Linked DNA regions of Macaca fascicularis. The protein of the gene in region 3 purifies or fractionates together with the protein of the main gene of each other region. This does not show direct contact. Links are inferred from orthologs where the notes say so. Each region holds a gene or a part of one and is shown on either strand. Other genes may lie near its edges. The genes, in order: MTF2, PHF19 and EZH2.

The links.
Region 1: the proteins of EZH2 (region 3) and MTF2 purify together in Homo sapiens (affinity purification with mass spectrometry; 10 studies listed by BioGRID and IntAct, with this or other methods). This does not show direct contact. The link is inferred for Macaca fascicularis from reciprocal best matches to the Homo sapiens genes EZH2 and MTF2.
Region 2: the proteins of EZH2 (region 3) and PHF19 purify together in Homo sapiens (affinity purification with mass spectrometry; 10 studies listed by BioGRID and IntAct, counting the BioPlex papers as one, with this or other methods). This does not show direct contact. The link is inferred for Macaca fascicularis from reciprocal best matches to the Homo sapiens genes EZH2 and PHF19.

The regions. Positions count from the first base shown.
Region 1 is NC_088375.1:141,293,305-141,300,620, forward strand, and holds part of MTF2 (metal-response element-binding transcription factor 2), read right to left. Parts: intron 3,820-7,316; coding exon 3,714-3,819; intron 3,595-3,713; coding exon 3,542-3,594; intron 3,430-3,541; coding exon 3,325-3,429; intron 878-3,324; coding exon 520-877; 3' UTR 1-519. UniProt on the Homo sapiens protein: Polycomb group (PcG) protein that specifically binds histone H3 trimethylated at 'Lys-36' (H3K36me3) and recruits the PRC2 complex, thus enhancing PRC2 H3K27me3 methylation activity.
Region 2 is NC_088389.1:37,054,343-37,057,942, reverse strand, and holds the start of PHF19 (PHD finger protein 19), read right to left. Parts: upstream 2,390-3,600; 5' UTR 2,357-2,389; intron 2,355-2,356; exon of another isoform or gene 1-2,354.
Region 3 is NC_088377.1:190,464,676-190,471,991, forward strand, and holds part of EZH2 (histone-lysine N-methyltransferase EZH2), read right to left. Parts: intron 6,967-7,316; coding exon 6,926-6,966; intron 6,457-6,925; coding exon 6,331-6,456; intron 5,543-6,330; coding exon 5,364-5,542; intron 2,813-5,363; coding exon 2,717-2,812; intron 1,440-2,716; coding exon 1,358-1,439; intron 460-1,357; coding exon 379-459; intron 225-378; coding exon 140-224; intron 1-139. UniProt on the Homo sapiens protein: Polycomb group (PcG) protein. Catalytic subunit of the PRC2/EED-EZH2 complex, which methylates 'Lys-9' (H3K9me) and 'Lys-27' (H3K27me) of histone H3, leading to transcriptional repression of the affected target gene.

The DNA.
Region 1 (7,316 bases), on a different chromosome or scaffold from region 3:
TATTTTTTTACACTTTGCTTGAAAGAAAATTTCAATATTTTACAGTCTTTCAGTAGGCATTATATACACTGCACTTTATGAATCTAAAAGGTATTGAAATAAATTTTTCCAACATTTTGGTAACAAAACAGACAACGTTTCTCCAAATACTTGTGCTATCTACATGATGTTTGCTCTGATAACCACTAATCACAAAAAACTGACTCAATGAAATAATTAGAAAAATTGTCTAACACCATGCATGGGTTTCAATCATTTTTAATATCCTACCCTAGAAACATTCTACAAATCTTAAGATTTAAAAAATTAAGTCTCTGTTCTGATTTTTAAAAGATACCTTTTTATGACAATATCCATAACATTGACAGGTACATGTTAAGGCTAGTATCATCCCCTTTTTTGAATTTTTTTGACTTTTCTTTTTTTTTAAGAAAGATAGTAAAAGCCAGACTCCTTTAGGGCTTTGAACTGTACCTACAGAAAATCAGAGTGCAGTGAACATAATGTTCAGTCCTACAGTCAGGATGCAGTTGCTCCTTCCCATTCCACAAGATACTGCACCTTTCCATCAAGTGTCACCCGACGGGCCAAAACTCGGTATTTTTCGCCACATGCTATTCTACCTGCAGCACCAAAATAACTGGTAATGGAGTTCTTTAGATGATTGAGTTGTAACTCCTGATCTGCTAAGTTATTCAGAATCTCTGTGTTGAGTTCATCAAACTGATAATCTTCTTTGCCTTCATCATCTTTTACAATTTCTGAGTTCTGAGTCTGGAGTGCTCTTCTTGGAAGACGACCTCTTCTTCTCCGCAAATGTGGTATTGCAGCAGGCCAAGATCTTCCTGTACGCGTTCTTTTTCTGGAGTCAGATAATCTATTTAACAGAGAAGGCCAGAATTGTCTGCTAAGCTTTTTAAGCATCCTATGCCCACACAATATGTTCTCTTTTTTGGATTATTCTACTATACCATATATCCTTGATGACATAAAAATAAGCCAAACTCAAACAATAAATGCGATATAAATGGACTATCACTTGTGCTCCTTACTTTAGATTTTGTCACCTTCTTGGGGCTGAACTTTGTAGAGCTTTTCTTCCTTTACTAGTAAGCTGAGGGTAATTTTTTTACTTAGGAGGCCAACAAGGAAAAATTCTTATCAAGAGGCCCTACTCATAAATCATGTATTGCCAATAATCTCATCATTTAAAAGAGCTCATTTATTTTTCATTGGAACAAATAATGAATGAACACAAACTACATCTATGACACTGTTCCATGTCCTTGAAGAGTAGAACTAGAATAGAGGTTCTCTTATTACCAGTTCTAGGCCTAGTGAAGTAATACACCAGAATAAGCACAAACTAGCAGTCAGAGTATCCTGGGTCTATCTCTAACTCTATTATTTGGCCAAATTCAAATCTTATTCTCTATGTTCACTTACTGAGTGAAGGGGTTGGATTGGATAATTTGTAAGGTCCTTTTCAGCACAGAAATTCAATTATTTTATGATTTTATAATAAAAGGAGAATATAGCACAACAACTAAATTGAAAGACCCACAGTCATACTGTATAAATTAACAATCCAGCTCTGTTATACTTGCTAAACATGCAATGTTGGGCTTGTTACTTAAAATCCCCTAAGTCTCAGTTTCCTCATCTGTAAAATGAGAACAACAGGACTTATACAACTCAAAAAATTGTTCTCTTTTGTTTGTCTGAGACAAGGCCTCACTCTCTTGCCCAGGCTGCAGTGCAGTGGCACAATCATGGCTCACTACAGCCTTGACCTCCTGGGCTCAAGTAATCCTCCACCTCAGCTTCCTGATTATCTAGGACTACAGACAGCACCACCACACCCAGATAACTTTTTTCTTTTGTAGGGATGGTGTCTCATCTCAAACTCTTGCCTCAAGCAGTCCTCCTACCCTGGCCTCCCAAAGTGCTGAGATTATAGGCATAAGCCACCACACCCAGCCAAAAAATTGTTTTAAGAATTAAATACGATAATATACATAAAAAGCTTAGCAGAGTACCTAGTAAGAGGCCCAAAAAAGTCAATTATTCAGAATTCGTTAATAAATGGGTTACACTTTAAGCATTTAATGTAGAATTTTGCATAATTTACAATAGCAGTTTTTGAATTATGAACAAAATTTAAACAGAACAAAGTAAAAAACTTGAAAATAGTAGCTCTGACCCCAAACAGATTAACCTTTTCATACCTGACATGACATGCTTTAGAGAAAAGTTGTCCTGATTGGGCGCAGTGGCTCACGCCTGTAATCCCAGCACTTTGGGAGGCCGAGGCAGGTAGATCACTTGAGTTTAGGAGTTCAAGACCTGCCTCGCCAACACGGTGAAACCCCATCTCTACTAAAAATACAAAAAGTTAGCTGGGCATGGTGGCGCACGCCTGTAATCCCAGCTATGTGAGAGGCTGAGGCGCGAGAATCGCTTGAATCCGGGAGGCAGAGGTTGCAGTGAGTCAAGATCATGCCACTGCACTCCAGCCTGGGTGACAGAGTAGTCTCCAAAAAAAAAAAAAAAAAAAAAAAAACCAATAAACAAAAATGTCCTTCTGAAGGGCTGGATTAAATATCAGATAAAAATCCTAAGTTTAAAATCATTTTATGGACAAAAGGATTTAGGTGTCTGATTCTTTTTTTTTTTCTTTTTCCCAATCAAATCTTGGCTAGTTGCAATGGCTCATGCATGTAATCCCAGCACTTGAGAAGGCCAACACAGGAGGATCACTTGAGGCCAGGAGTTCAAGACCAACCTGGGCAACTTAGCAAAACCATCTCTACAAAAAATAAAAAAGCATTAGTTAGGTGTGGTGGCACAATCTCTAGTCCTAGTCACTACAGAGGCTGACGTGGGAGGACTTTTTTGAAGCCAGGAGTTTGAGGCTGCAATGAGCCATGATTGTGCCACTGTACTCTAGCCTGGGCAACAGAATGAGAATCTGTCTCTTAAAAAATAAAAAAATCAAATCTTTCTAAAGCAAAGAACACTTGTGTAAGCAGAGGCATTAAAAAGCCTAACAAGCACAGCTTCTAAACAATGGTATACTTTTTCTCTGTGTTCACAGCAAATTTCCATACAAACTTGAAAAATACAATGTTTGTACTCTAGAAAGCAAAAATATTCAAATGAATATTAACAACTAATGGGATCTACATCTAGATTACCGCTCAAAAAGCTGATAGACACAACTTGCATCACTTTCAATTGCTAAAAAATTATTCAATCAACACTTTACAAAGAAAAGGAATCTAGAATAAGAAAAGTAAAAAAAATAAGAACTAAAATATCTACCCATAATGCCTGGAAATGCTAGACGAGGTAGTTTCTTTTGCACTGGAAGCACCCGTGAAATCCACATCTGAGGTATTAGATGAATGTGCAGTTCCCTCAGTTCTCCTGAGACAAAAGAATTTAAATTGTGTAATGACTATATTATATAACAAACAGAAATATTAACATCCACTCAAAAGACAAAACCTAGAAAGGGAGAAAATAACTTTCTATTTACCCTATAGAACAAGGTAAATCCAAAGTAGGATTCTCTGAAACTGACTCCTTATCCTGGAAAATAAAAATATATACTTAAAGCATGTCTCTAGAATAAGCTGAAAAAAATACTAGCTTCTCAGTTATTTCACGCATCCTTCTTCTTGAGAACATATACCAACATATCCTCTTACCAAAAGTGGCTCAGCAGTTTTTTGAATCATTTTTCTTGTATATGGGCCAGGTGGACGACCTACAGATTTTTTCTTTCCTTTTTTTTCTATGCCATTGCTTACTTCCCTGAAATGGAAAACCATTATGCATTTAATCTCTGCATCAAGAAAACAAAGACATTGACTCTATGTACGTAACTAGACATATATACACATATATTTTACTATTTTATATTAATGGTAATATAAAAATTATTAATTGAATCCACAAGTTTAATCAAGTGCATTGATAATATATTCTAATTTAAATAAATATTTCTTCACTTTAAAGATATTTAAACCATTATGAAAGGTTTAAAAAAGTCCTCTTTAATATAATTCTGAACAATATATACCACTTAAAGATTTAAAAACAACAACAACAAAAACCAGACAATTATACTGAATGGAAGATTTCAAAACTCCTAAAAGCTCAATTATATAGTTTAATTTTAGGTTGTTACAACGTGGAGGATGTTTCAAGGATTTACTACTAAAAATGACTATGAATTTAGCAGTTAACCTAATGGAGTCAAGAAATAGCTATGTTAAAATTATAGTAGTCATAAAGGCTGCCTTTAGATATATATGTAGATTCTTGAATGACACTATCAGAAAGAGAATGAAGCCCAGAGTGGCAGAACGTAAAGAAGAAAGGAGTAAGAAATCCTTCATATTCTCAGGGAGTCATTCAAAAGGTCTTTCTAGGTCACAAAGACCTAGAAAACCATATTTTAAACATAAAGCCAAATTCCAAGCAATAGGAAGGAAAAAAGTGCAACAGGCAAAGACACTCTAATTAATAGAAAAAAATAAAAAATATATATAGAAAGAATATTTCATTTACTCAACAATAGCTACCATATAAAGACGATATTAGATAATATGGATACAAAGGTGTTCCTGGTGCTAAAGAGTTCACAATATAGTTAGAAAGTGACAAATGTGTATACAAGCAAGCTAATAAAATGGAGTGAGGGCTACGAGAAAATTGTCCAGGAAACTTTAATTAAGGAGAGGAAAAAAGAACACTATATAATAGCCTAGAAAGAGATGAATGGAGAAAGTAGGAAAAAAACTTATCCCTCTAGATGCCAAACAAGGTCAGGGAATAAAGGTGGAACTATGAGGAAGGAGAAAGTAGGGGAACTATAACGACAAAGCAGAACCAGACACTATAATCAAAAGTCTCAAGAACAAGATGGATGGGATATCCATTTCTTTTGTAAAATGATCAACATAATATTTATAAAGGACTCCTGGACTAAAGAAAGTAACCTCTAACTAAAAGGAACAACTTATACACAAGGTCCAGAAGGAACTCAGGATGCCTTTAAACAAAGCAGCTGAATCCTTATCTGGTGGCATCAGATGACCTGATAGCTACCACAAAGGGAGCATCCTATCACAATCATGATAGAAATGAAAAAGCTTGTGGAATTATTTTTTTCTGATTCATAATATGGCAACTGCTAGCAAAGGATTTGAGTGACCAAATCTGAAAGTGATAGGAATAATAAGCATTCTTTCCTTCAGGAAAGAAAACTTAATTAGCAGCTAATTTCTTACAAACTTCAAATAACTGGACTCATTGTCAAGGCTTTGTAATCACATTTTCCTTATCTCCAAGATGACTATTCCATACCTTTAATTGATCCTCAAATTCCCATCTCTGTACAAGACTCTCTGCTATCTTTACCTTATATTTCATCGAGAAAATAGAGGCTACCAGGCAAGAACTTCAGTCAATTTCCAACTGCCCAATCTATAACAGAACTAGCATCTGTACCCATCTTCTCTTTTACCCCATTTCAACAGAAGGATGTTTCTCCTTCTAGAAAAGGCGAGTCCCACATTTAGGCTCTATATCCCTTCTCTTTTGGCTTCTACTCTCCTATACCAATTTCCTCTTCTCCAATGGATCATTCCTACTTACACACAAAAACAGGTTCCAACTATCTCCCAACTATTTTAAAAAAAACCATCATTTAACTAGTCCTATCCCCCTCTTCAGCTGTCATTCCATTTGTCAGCCTCCCTATACAGGAAAACTTCTGGGTGTTGATGACATAATACGCTTTCCATTTTCTCCCCTCTCATTCAGAATCCTTAAAGATAGTTTCCTATTTTCCTCCTTTCCTTCACTACTGTTATTATTTTGAATCTGCCTGTGTCCCTGATATGTAGGAGAAGCACAGTTTGACATGTAAATTTGGCAATGCTGGATTCAGTCATACTTCCACCCAGTCCTATCTGGTTTCTATCTGTACTACTTCAAAGAAATTCCTTTTGTCAAGGTCACTAATAACAAAATGTTATGCAATAAATATTTTTCTTTCATTTTAATCTACCTCACTAGCATTCAATACACTTTAATATAGCTATCTTTCTTGAAACACTACCTTTCTTTTGGTTGTCATGACATCAAACTTCTTGGTTTCCTCCCATCTCACTGATCACTCTTTTTTAGTCTCCTCTGCTTATTTCACTTCTTCCAAATTTACAAATGATATCAGGACATGATCCCAGACCACCTTCTCTTCTCTCTCTACTTGCTCCCTCGGTAATTTCACTCATTCTCATGGCTTTATCAATCAGATTCCAAATTTGTATCGCCTGTCCAGAACTCTCCTATGAGCTCCTAAATTACACATCCAATTGCCCGTATTTCACTCATTCTGTGTGTATGAGGGGTGTGTGTGTGTGTGTGTGTGTGTGTGTGTGTGTATCCCTCATAAGAATCTCAAATTCAATGAATATGAAACAGAAGAATGCTTCATTCACCATACCAGAATCTGTTTTTCCAGATCTTGATTAACCCCTCATCAGTTGCTCAGGCCAGAAATCTGGGCATTATTTAATTGACTCCTTCTTTATTTTCAGAAATTTAATTCACTAGCAAATCCAATTAATTCTAACTCCAATAAAGACCTCAAATCTGTTTTCTTTCCATTTGAATGTTACCACCTACCTCTGTACCTCATACCATCTATCTATCTCTCAGCTAGAAAACTGAGTCTTAATTTTCTCCTGCTTTTATTCTTACCTGTATACTACCCATTCTCAAAACAGCATCCAAAACAGTTTTGTTTTTTTTTTGAGACAGAGTCTCGCTCTGTTGCCCACGTTGGAGTACAGTGGCGCGATCTCGGCTCACTGCAACCTCCGCCTCCCGGGTTCAAGTGATTCTCCTGCCTCAGTCTCCCGAGTAGCTGAGCCTACAGGCGCACGCCACCATGCCCGGCTAATTTTTGTAATTATAGTAGAGATGAGGTTTCACCATCTTGGTCAGGCTGGTCTCAAACTCCCAACCTCAGGTGATCCACCTGCTTTGGCCTCCCAAAGTACTGGGATTACAGGCGTGAACCACTGCACCCGGCCGAGTATTTTTAAAAGATAATTAAATCCCTTAAATGCCTCCCCTTTATTCTTAGAAAACAACCCAAATTCTCTGTAAGCCCTACAAGACCCTACACAGGATCAAGTCTCACCTAATCTTTCCAATACCTGATGCTACTACTCTCTCATCCTCATTTATAACACATCAGTCTTCTGTGAGTTCCTAGAATACGTTTCAAAGCCTTT
Region 2 (3,600 bases), on a different chromosome or scaffold from region 3:
CTCCCTGCACCACCCCACTCAGGAAGTCATAGGTGGCTACATGCTCCGGTCAGGTGCCACCACTTTGCTGCCTCAAGGAGAACAAAGCATTAAACAACTACAAGATCACGGCAGCTGGTCTCAGCAGCCAAGTGGGACGTAGATCCACGTTTGCAGGAGAAGTACACCTTGGAAACGATGGCTCCTGGCATGTGTACTGTGTGCTGGGCAACAGTTTCCCTCCAAATCCTTACAGCAACCTGCAAGGAATTCTTCTGCAGCTGTACATAGGGTCAGAGAAGCAAGATGCCTGGTCCAAAGGCACACAGCCTCTGGTGGTGGAGCAGGATTCACTCCAGGGCTGTGGGGCCCCAAGCTCTGTGCGTGTGATCTCTGATGGAGATCAGAGTACCCAGCTCTTGTCTCATCTATTAAATGGAGAAGATGATCCCTACATATCTTTCCATCGAGTTCAGCTGCTACAGAGGTTTTGCAAACTTTCACATTGGTTTCAGATCATGGGTTTTGAGGTCAGACAGAGCTGAGTTGAAATCCTGGGTCCACTGCTTACTAACTGCGGGCCCTGGGACAAAGTCCTTAACTTCTCTGAAACTCAGATTCTGCATCTGTAAAATGGGACAATAATACCTATTTCACCCAACTGTTGTGATGACTAAATGAGATCGTGGATCAAAGTGTGGTGTGTAGCCCAAGTGAAGTACTTGAAAGACTTTGACATTTGGCTCAGATGGTGACTACAGGCCTTCCAGCTCCTCAGAGAAAAGGATGAAAGTGGGACATTATGCTTACACTGTGTTTTCACATCTATCTACTGGAGCCTCACAGGTGGGCAGTGCAGGTCATCGGACCTGAGATACATTAAACTGCCCACCTGCCCTGGTGTAACACCGGGGCTGCCACAGGCTGGTGGCAAAGAGGGCACGGCATCTTACAGCCACAGTGTACATCAGGACCTTCACCCCTATAGCAAACGACCTCCAGGCCTGCATCAAGACCATGAGAAGACACTCCCTTTAACTGTGTACCCCATAGCTGCAAACTTTCCTACAGCCCTACCTGTTCCCTCCTTTCCCTGGGGTTTGAGATAAAACAAACACCCAAGACTTCTCTCCCCATCTGTGGGTCCCTTCTCTCCCCTCTGGCTTCAATACCACCCACTCTACCTGTTCATTCCCACGGACATCAAAATGTGCCCAAGCTGCTCTAATAAGAAAAGGGAAAAATAACTAGTACTACTTTTGGGTGCTGTGTTATGTAATTTTACAGACATCATCTCATCTAATTGTCACTCTATGAAGCAGGTATGGCCATCATCATCCCCACCTTAGAGATGAGAAAACCGAGGCACAGAGAGGCTAAGTGACTTGCTGAAGGTCTCACAGCTAGTGAGTGGGGACTCCTGAATCCAGAGCCAGTTCTCTAACCACGCATGCCTTTACAACACTCTATTCTCGTCTCCAATTTCTACATCTACCCTCTCCTCACTTAAGAACCCCTCTCCTAGGGGTTCTTAATTGTAGAACCCCTAGAAAAGATTGTCTATACAGGCACTTGGATCTCCAGGGAATCATCTCTCCAAGTGTATATGAATGTCGAGGACGCCAAATGCTCTGGGCCCGTCCCAGTCTCTATCCAACCAGCCCTTCTGCCAGCACCTGACCGGCTCTCAGCCCTTCCTTCCGGATTCCCTTCCTTTCCCCGGCTTCCCGCATCCTCTGGGGGGAATTCCCCCTGCGTCTCTGGTGGCTCCTTATTCGTCTCCTTGACCCCTTTCTCTTCCACACTGGGCCTCCATCGGCTCCATCCACGAGAAGTCTCTCTGCGCCGCGTGTCCCCATCTCCCACTCGTCCTTCGGGGCGCCCCTGCACTAGACCCCACTCCCATGGGAAGTCTTTGTGGGCCCCATGATGAGGCTGGGCGCCCCGCTCTGTGATTCCTCTCGCCTGCCGGCGCCAGCACAGCCCCCGCCGCCCGGCTCTGCAGGCCGGGTTGCCTGTCTGAGCCCCCAGCCCAGTCGGTGATCCCTCCCGAGGGCGGGGGAGCGTCGCGTCGCCACCTCAACATATCCAGTTGCGAGCGCAGCGCTGGGAGTCAGGCAGCGCCGGTGCCCGCGGAAGCAGGAATAAGCCGCCGGGCGGCCGGGGCGCCTGCCGCTGGGCTGGGGGCAGTGAGTCCAGGGGCCGGCTCTGCAGCCGAGGTTCCATGTCCCCGGCTGCGCCCGGGGAGTCCCCGCTTCAGCGAGGGGGAGCTGGAGCGGGGCGTCCAGGACGAGGAAGGGGGCCGGGGAGCCGCCCTGCTGTCCTGGGGCAGGGGTGCAGAGCAGCCAACCTCGTCGCCGCCTCCGCCACCACCTACCCGCGGCCCTGCCGGGAGCTTCCGGTGGAGTGTGGAGGACGCAGCCGCGCGGGCGGAAACCTGGAAGGCAGGGCCGGGGCGGGGGGCTGCTGCTCCGCGGCCCGCCGCGGGCGGGGCGAGCGATCCCCATGCGGGGAAACTGAGTCCGAGGGCTGGGTCTGCGGCGCCACGGGCACTGTGCGCCCAGTTAACTGACACGCGTGCACGCCGCTCCTCCGCGTGCGGGGCTCCTGGCACCTAGTGCAGCACCTGCGCGTATTTAGTGCTCAGTAAAATGCCCCCTGAAAAAACAAACACGAACCGGGAATTGGAGCCCCCACCCTGGTCCCCTGCCTGCCTGAGATCCGAGTAGTGAGGTGAAGAGCAGTAAAACCCAAGTCTTACCATTCTTGGATTTCTCCAGAAGATCCTAGCACAGTGCCAGGCTCTCCCAAGCTTATTGGGTTGAAGCAATCAAGTGATAGTACTTGATAGTACTTGATCAAAGTGATAGTACTAAGTGGTTCCAGGCCCTTTGCTTTCACAAACTGGGTATTTTAAGGAACCGTTTCTGTTTTCGTCTAAGCGCGCGCGCACACACACACACACACACACACACACACACACACAGAGTCGCTAAATCCTTAAGAATATATTAATCAAAATAGTTACGGAACTTAGTGTTGGGGTAGAATTTTAGATTAAAAGCTACACAACCTTTATTTTTGCGAACTACCAATTTGACAAAGGCTCCTTCTCTGTCAGATGTCTTAACCTTGTAGGACTGATGGTGGAGGGAGGGATGAGACTCTCCACCTTGTTGGTTTGGGTTTAACACCTCAAAAATCTCTTTATGTGTTAGGGTCCTTTTTTTTTTTGAGATGGAGTTTCACTCTTGTCACCGAGGCTGGAGTGCAATGGCCCAATCTCGGCTCACTGCAACCTCTGCTTCCTGGGTTCAAGCAATTCTCCTGTCTCAGCCTCTTGAGTAGCTGGGATTACAGGCGCCCGCCACCACGCCCAGCTAATTTTTGTATTTTTAGTACAGAGGAGGGTCTCACCATGTTGGCTAGGCTGGTCTCGAACTCCTGACTTCAGGTGATCCACCCACCTCCGCCTCCCAAAGTGCTAGGATTACAGGCGTGAGCCACCACACCTGGCCTAGGGTCCCTTTTTATGGCCCGACTCTCAACTAGATTGTAAGAGCAGGGAACGATCTTTTACGTGTTTGTTTTTTAACCCGGCATGCCTGTAAGTCTCTCACT
Region 3 (7,316 bases):
AAGGCAAAGTGACCCGTCAAAACAACTCACCCCCACCCCTCAGCACATCTAGCAAAGAACTAAAAAAATCCTTCGCCCAGCGTTCACGATCCAGTAGAAAAAGCCCTTAGAGATCATGTTAGAAATGTACTTTACCAACCTGTAATCAAAAAACAGCTCTTCACCAGTCTGGATGGCTCTCTTGGCAAAAATACCTATCCTGTGATCGCCGTTAACCATCATAACTGGAAAGAGACACACTGGTGTCAGTGAGCATGAAGACAGGCCACGGGAGGTTAACTGACTTGTTCACATAACAAACAACTATCCCAGAAGTATTCAAGTCCATCATCACAGGATTAAAAAGGGAGTTCCAATTCTGACGTCAAAGATACCTACCTTTTGCATAGCAGTTTGGATTTACCGAATGATTTGCAAAACGAATTTTGTTACCCTTGCGGGTTGCATCCACCACAAAATCTAAAAAGAGGAAAATGAGCCCAGTGAATAATTTCAGTTATAAGTAAATCAAGTTATTATGATTCTGTAAATGCAACCGGTTATAGTTCTTCAGGGTTTGCCTGCAAAAGCAAATAAATCATTCAAGCAACTTCATTCAGTAAGAAATGACATTTGGAAGAACACACTATTGTTCCAGGTTAAAATTAATCACCTATAATTCAAGATGGTTATCTGACACAAAAGCTATTAATTATCAACTATAAACATACATTACTAAGCAAAATAAAAAAAAAATTAAAAAGAATCTGACAAAATTCTTCTGAACATCAATTCATTTAACATTAGTTTTTTTTATAATGTCTATAAAGCATTCCTAGAAAAAATCTATTCTACTTGTTCCAACTAAGAGTTTCTCTGAATATCTTACATGTTAAGCCAACCTCCCACCAGAACAATCCCACCAGAAATATCCCTACAGACTTACATTCTACCCCAGAACATCAGCTATGAAAGCAACTGCCTTTCCTCCCAGTCCTTTGAGAATATCCAGGGGAGTCTGGCTCCTCCCCTCCTTCCCAGCTCCGAGGCACTGACTGCAGGAGGTGAGCTGAGCTGCCTGAACACAAGAGGTGAGGCAGCAAGAGCACAACATCCCCGTCACAGCCAGACACTGGTACAGCGCCACTCACAGATGGCCAGGGCTTCAGAGAGGCGGTTTCCTGCACACCTAGTCCATCTGCTCCCTGAGGAATTCCTTGCTCCAGTTCCTTTCAAGCAAGCAGCCCCCGATGCCTCTAAGGAGATCCTCCTTCTGGTCACCTCACTGACCTCCACCCTCGTTTCTGAACACTTGGCAGGCAGAAGGCTGCCACATGCAACTCAGAGGAACTCACTGCCTCCCAGCTCAGATACATACCATTGTTCAAGTTGAACAGAAAGCTGCACATGTATTTATCATATACTTTCCCTCTTCTGTCAGCTTCATCTTGAGAAATAATCTAAAAAGAAAGACACAAGAGAAAATTCTTTTGGATAAAGGTGATCAAGTCTGACAGCACATGCAAAAGCACACACAGTGAATACTGGACCTTCGGAAGAAAACAAAAAGGGTCACTACAGCCAAGTTCTCTTTCCCATTCAGTCTGCACACTGATAAATCTAAGAATAACTGTATATTAAGGACCCCAACTCAGAAATATTTCCACATCCTGAAGTAATTATCCTTGGAGAAAGTGAGGAACCAAAGTCTTCTCGCTGAGCTTAAAAAAAAAAAAAAAAAAACACACACACACACACACAAGTTGGCCGCAGTGGCTCACGCCTGTAATCCCAGCACTTTGGGAGGCTGAGGCAGGCAGATCACCTGAGGTCGGCAGTTCAGGACCAGCCTAACCAACATGGAGAAACCCCATCTCTACTAAAAACACAAAATCAGCTGAGCGTGGTGGCACATGCCTGTAATCCCAGCTACTCGGGAGGCTGAGGCAGGAGAATCGCTTGAACCTGGGAGGCGGAGGTTGCAGGGGGCCAAGATCGCACCATCGCACTCCATCCTGGGCAACAAGAGCGAAACTCCATCTCAAAAAAAAAAATTGGGGTGAGTTGGTTCCAAATTGAAGCTAGCCCTATGATTTTTCGGTAACTCAACAATTTAGAAGGTGAATAACTAATGACACTGTTGTTTCTACATCCTTATCAACCAGGTTGTGGATTAAGCAGGACACTCTATGGTAAAGCTCCTGTTCTCCCTGCTGACCATAGATGAGAAAAGCTGAATGTGGCTAGAACCAAGCAATCCTGTTTTGTTTTGTTTTCCTCTGAGACAGGGTCTCACTTTGTTGCCCAGGCTGGAGAGCAGTGGCACAAATATGGCTCACTGCAGCCTCAACCTCCCAGGCTCAAGCGATCTTCCTCCCTCAGCTCCCAAGTAGCTGGGACTACAGGTATGCACCACCATGCCTGGCTAATTTTTGCATTTTTTGTAGCAATGGGGTCTCGCCATGTTGCCCATGCTGGTCTCCCAACTCCTGAGCTCAAGCAATCCACGTGCCTCAGCCTCCCAAAGTGCTGGGACTGCAGGAGTCAGCCCCCGCGCCCAGCACAATCCAGTTACTAAGCATGCAAATCCACAAACATGCAGACGTCCAGGCTTAAAAGGCAGTTTATGGCAATTCATTCCCAATCAAACCCACAGACTGACCTAATAAAATCAATCTAAAATAAAGAAAAGTTAGTATATACAATGCCACCTGAATATAGGTAATCAGTGCCTTACCTCTCCACAGTATTCTGAGATGAATTCATTTTTCTGCACAGGATCTTTGATAAAAATCCCCCAGCCTGCCACATCAGATGGTGCCAGCAATAGATGCTAGAGAATAAAACACAATTACAATCAAAAAAGGAGGGTGAAGATGGACTGGGGACAAAGCAGACTACAGAATGAAAACAAAAGCTATCACTGTAAATCCTCAGACCTGTTCTAAGGCAGTAATGGAACACACAGCTTCAGTCAATGTGAAAGCTGCTGAGAATGGCTATGAACATTATGCTTTTCTCATACAGCAGATAAGAATCTCTGTCTTACAGAAAACCCTTTGGTGGTGTTAGTCCTCTGCAGTGACCATCATTCAGCAAGGTGCTCTAGGCCTGCTGCACTTTTGGCTTCCCTGTTTCTTCAGCCCTTGATTTCCTCGAATAATTTACTTTCAACCTGAATTTAAGGACAGCACCAAATCACTCTTCTTCTCCATACCTTTCCCTCTACTTCCCCCAAGTGATTTCTATTAACATTATTCCATTTTCAGCCTCAGGACACCCCTGACTCTTCGCTGGTGCTGGTTCCCTCTGAAGCCCATGGCAACTTGGCTTTGGATTTGTTCTTCCACCCCACCTCCTCAGGATAACACAAGAAACTATTGGGAGGGATTACCATGATCTTGTCAGTCCAGTAGTCTATTTTCAGCAGAAATGCCGAGATGATCATTGCTGTAAATTATGTATTTAGGGATGTGTTCCCAAACATATGCCAATTTTTCATCATGGCTCATTATTATGCTTTCATCCAAAATTTTCTTGTGACCTTTACAAAGGCTTCCCTGATCACCTAAGCTTCCAATCTATTCCTATTCTGGACCATCTTACCACTCACCTGTCAGGTGAACTTCCCAAATATCCTTCTGATCAGAAACTAAACAGCTAACTACTGCTGTGCAAATGAAACCCAACTGGTAAAAAGTATCTACATAGTTTAACATTTTTCAGAGTTAAAAAATGTCTTATAAAGAGGACATGTCAGTATGAATAGAAGTACCCACTTTCTGAACAAAGTCAAGAAGGAGTACAATGGTAAGCTGTTTAGGGGAGAAATTGAGATTTTTAGGTCTGAGCGGGTATGCCATCGGAAATTGAACCAGCGTCACTGTGATCCAGTGACCTAAATGGACATATAACTGCCTAGAGTAAAATGATCTAAATGTCTGATAGAAAAAAGTCACAGCTAAAAACAAAAAACCCACGACCCTGCACAGCTCTCCACGACCCTGCACAGCTCTCTGCCATAAACACAGACTTTGGTTCAAAAACATAAGGAAACAAAACCAAGAAAACTTCAGTGTTTTGCCTGGAGCACAATTTCTGGTAGAAGGGGACCTGCTGGTAGGAAGTGTGATCTCAATTATAAATAAATGGTCCAACAACAAAGATATGTCTACTCTACACCACACACACACACACACACACACACAGCATAAGGGCAGGTAATGGGAGCCTGGAGGATTTGATCTCCTGCTCCTTTACAAGTCTTGTGACTTTGGGTTTCCTTACCTGTAAAACGGGGTTAACACTTATTCCTCACTCACAGGGTTAGGAGGATCAATGAACGAATCCACTAAAGCACTTAGAACAGTGCCTGCTATTTTTACATGCTTAATAAATGTCAGCTATTATTATAAAAAGAACTGAAGAAAGACCTTATCTGCCTTTAAAAAAAAAAAAAAAGGATTCCCCAAACACATGCTGCTGGAGTTTCTTTCACTCAGTCATACTTCCGGGCTCAGAGAGTTAAACCATCTACATACAATTCCCCACACTAAAAATACAGAATTCCTCGCTGGATTTTTTTCAAGGTTTTTGTTTATTTCTTTGTTTTGTTTTCTGAGACAGAGTTTCGCTCTGTCCCCCAGGCTGGAGTGCAGTGGCCCGATCTCTGTTCACTGCAAGCTCCGCCTCCTGGGTTCACGCCATTCTCCTGCCTCAGCCTCCCGAGTAGCTAGGACTACAGGCACCCGCCACCACGCCTGGCTAATATTTTCGTATTTTTAGTAGAAACAGGGTTTCACCATGTTAGCCAAGATGGTCTCAATCTTCTGACCTCGTGATCAGCCCACCTCGGCCTTCCAAAGTGCTGGGATTACAGGCGTGAGCCACTGCGCCCGGCCTCAAAGTTATTAAACAAACAGGAAGTAAGTCTATAAAAACCTGCCATGGGAAATTTCATCTTTTACTCTACATAATAAGGAATCTATACTCTTTGATGAGAATAAGTCTATATTTTGATAGAAATCACCATTTATTTGCATTAAGGATACTAAACTACTAGTTTTATTAACTAAAAGAGAAATTCAAATAATCTATTAAACCGCTAGAAAAAATACATCTTATTCCAAATCTGATACCATGAATGGCTACTTCTCAGAATTTGCTGGTTTCTCCTACTATCGGAGTACAGTGCTCTATAGAAAACTGAAGAGACTGCCCAAGGGTGCACTATCCAGCGAAAACTATCAACACTTTCTCATCAGCTGCACCTTTCAAGGATCACTTTTACTTTTTGCCCCAGCTAAATCATCTAAGACAATCCTGACATTTGCATCACTAAATAGCTAACTACTACCAATCTTCCAGAAGCGACTGTTACTCACCTTTTTGGAGCCCCGCTGAATACTGCAGTTCTTGCAGGACACATTTTTACTGTCCCAATGGTCAGCGGCTCCACAAGTAAGACAGAGGTCAGGGTCACACTCTCGGACGGCCAGGTAGCACGGGCACTGCTTGGTGTTGCACTGTGCTTTGCAGCGGCATCCCGGAAAGCGGTTTTGACCTTCAGAGAGAGGTTTGGAGGTTCTTCACTCATAACCACCATCACCATCATCACCATATGCAAAAACTTGCAGAAAGATACGTGGCAAGGGGTGTACTGAGCATCTGGCTGACTCTCAACCCTCACAACCACCTTATTGCCCTACTATACAGACAAGGAAATGGAAGTATTAACAGCGAAGTTAAAGCTGTTTGTATGAAAAAGACCACCACTGAGTTTTTCCATTTTTCATTTGTTAAACAGTGTATATATTTAAAGTAAGTGTGAATAAAGTGTGAAGAAACAATATCCATGGTCCTTGACCATTCTCACAGCCCCTAGTTCTAAACACTCCCTTAGTACTCAAGCTTCATGTGCAGTCTCATTAAACAATTATAAAAATCCACTGCGTTTATGCTACATTCCTTTATTCTGAAGACTAAAACCCTCCTAACTCTGACAATTTCTGGTGTCCAAAAATTATCTGAGTAGCTCCTTCTAGATTCCTCTTACAATCTGTGCCGACTTTAATACAACTTAATTTAAATGATCAAAGAAGAAAAAAAATAAAATTCGGGTTCCTTTAATACAACTTTGCCTGCCTCACACACATAGACACACAACACCCAGGCGACTGACCAGCCAGTGGCACAGGGCCAGGTATGGGGCTCAATAAATACTTGTCAAATCCATGAGTTTCGTCAAGTAAACAAGGGAGTGCTCCCGTGTTCTTATTTTTGATTTTTTAAATTGCTAACCAAAGGCCTATTTAGTTCTCATGCAATTCCATCAAAGCAACAAATACTTACACTCTGAACTACATTGACAAAACTTTTCACAAAAATTTTGTGCTATCACACAAGGGCACGAACTGTCACAAGGCTGCCGTGGATGATCACAGGGTTGATAGTTGTAAACATGGTTAGAGGAGCCGTCTGAGTAAAGATAACATCATGCAGGCCAATGAATCCAGGGAGATGGAAACGATCATACACAATTAACACGAGTACATTCTTCCCTACTACCTGTGGAGGGTAGCTGGCCTGCCTTTACTGAATGCGTAACGTTACACATATTCCGGTTTCCAAAACGATGGCAAAAATACTCTCCCACCCCCAGGTGCTTGTGAGTTCCATCTAGATACAGCGTGGCTACATCAAAGTCCCATCCCAAAGCACTTCTCCTTCAACCGACTCGGACTCATACCTTCCAGTCAGCCTCCACTTTACAGAAGAGAATTGACTGGGGATTCATCAATAGACATTCTCCATTCGAATTGGTTTAATGTAGAGAAGGCAATTACATTAGAATAACCCAAGCTCTAATCCAGTTACTATTCTAAAACAAATGAAAACAGAGCAGACATTGTTAAGCTAATAATGAGGGGAATGGAAAGATGCTAACCCTTTTTCAGCTGTATCTTTCTGCAGTGTGCAGCCCACAACCTGCAAAAACACAAAGAAAATGAAACCAAACTTCTGCAGGACGCTGCAAATCCAACCGAGAGCTGCTTAACTGGATCTGTCCGTGCCATGAATACAGCAGTGCGTTAAAGCCAAGAGTCATGCCCTGCCCAGTTTATATTTGCCATCAGTTTGAAGCAACTCAAACAGCTTGATGGCTCAGGCTGCCCCAGGTGTGGCAAGACGTCACTTCCTGTGTTCATCCATGACTCCTGGTCAGAACTCCTGAGCTCCCAATGCCGCACAAAGCAGCTGGTGTGTCTGCCTGTTGATTTATTCTGATGTGGATGACACTCATCACTTCCTCTAATTTCAGGCATCATAAACCAATC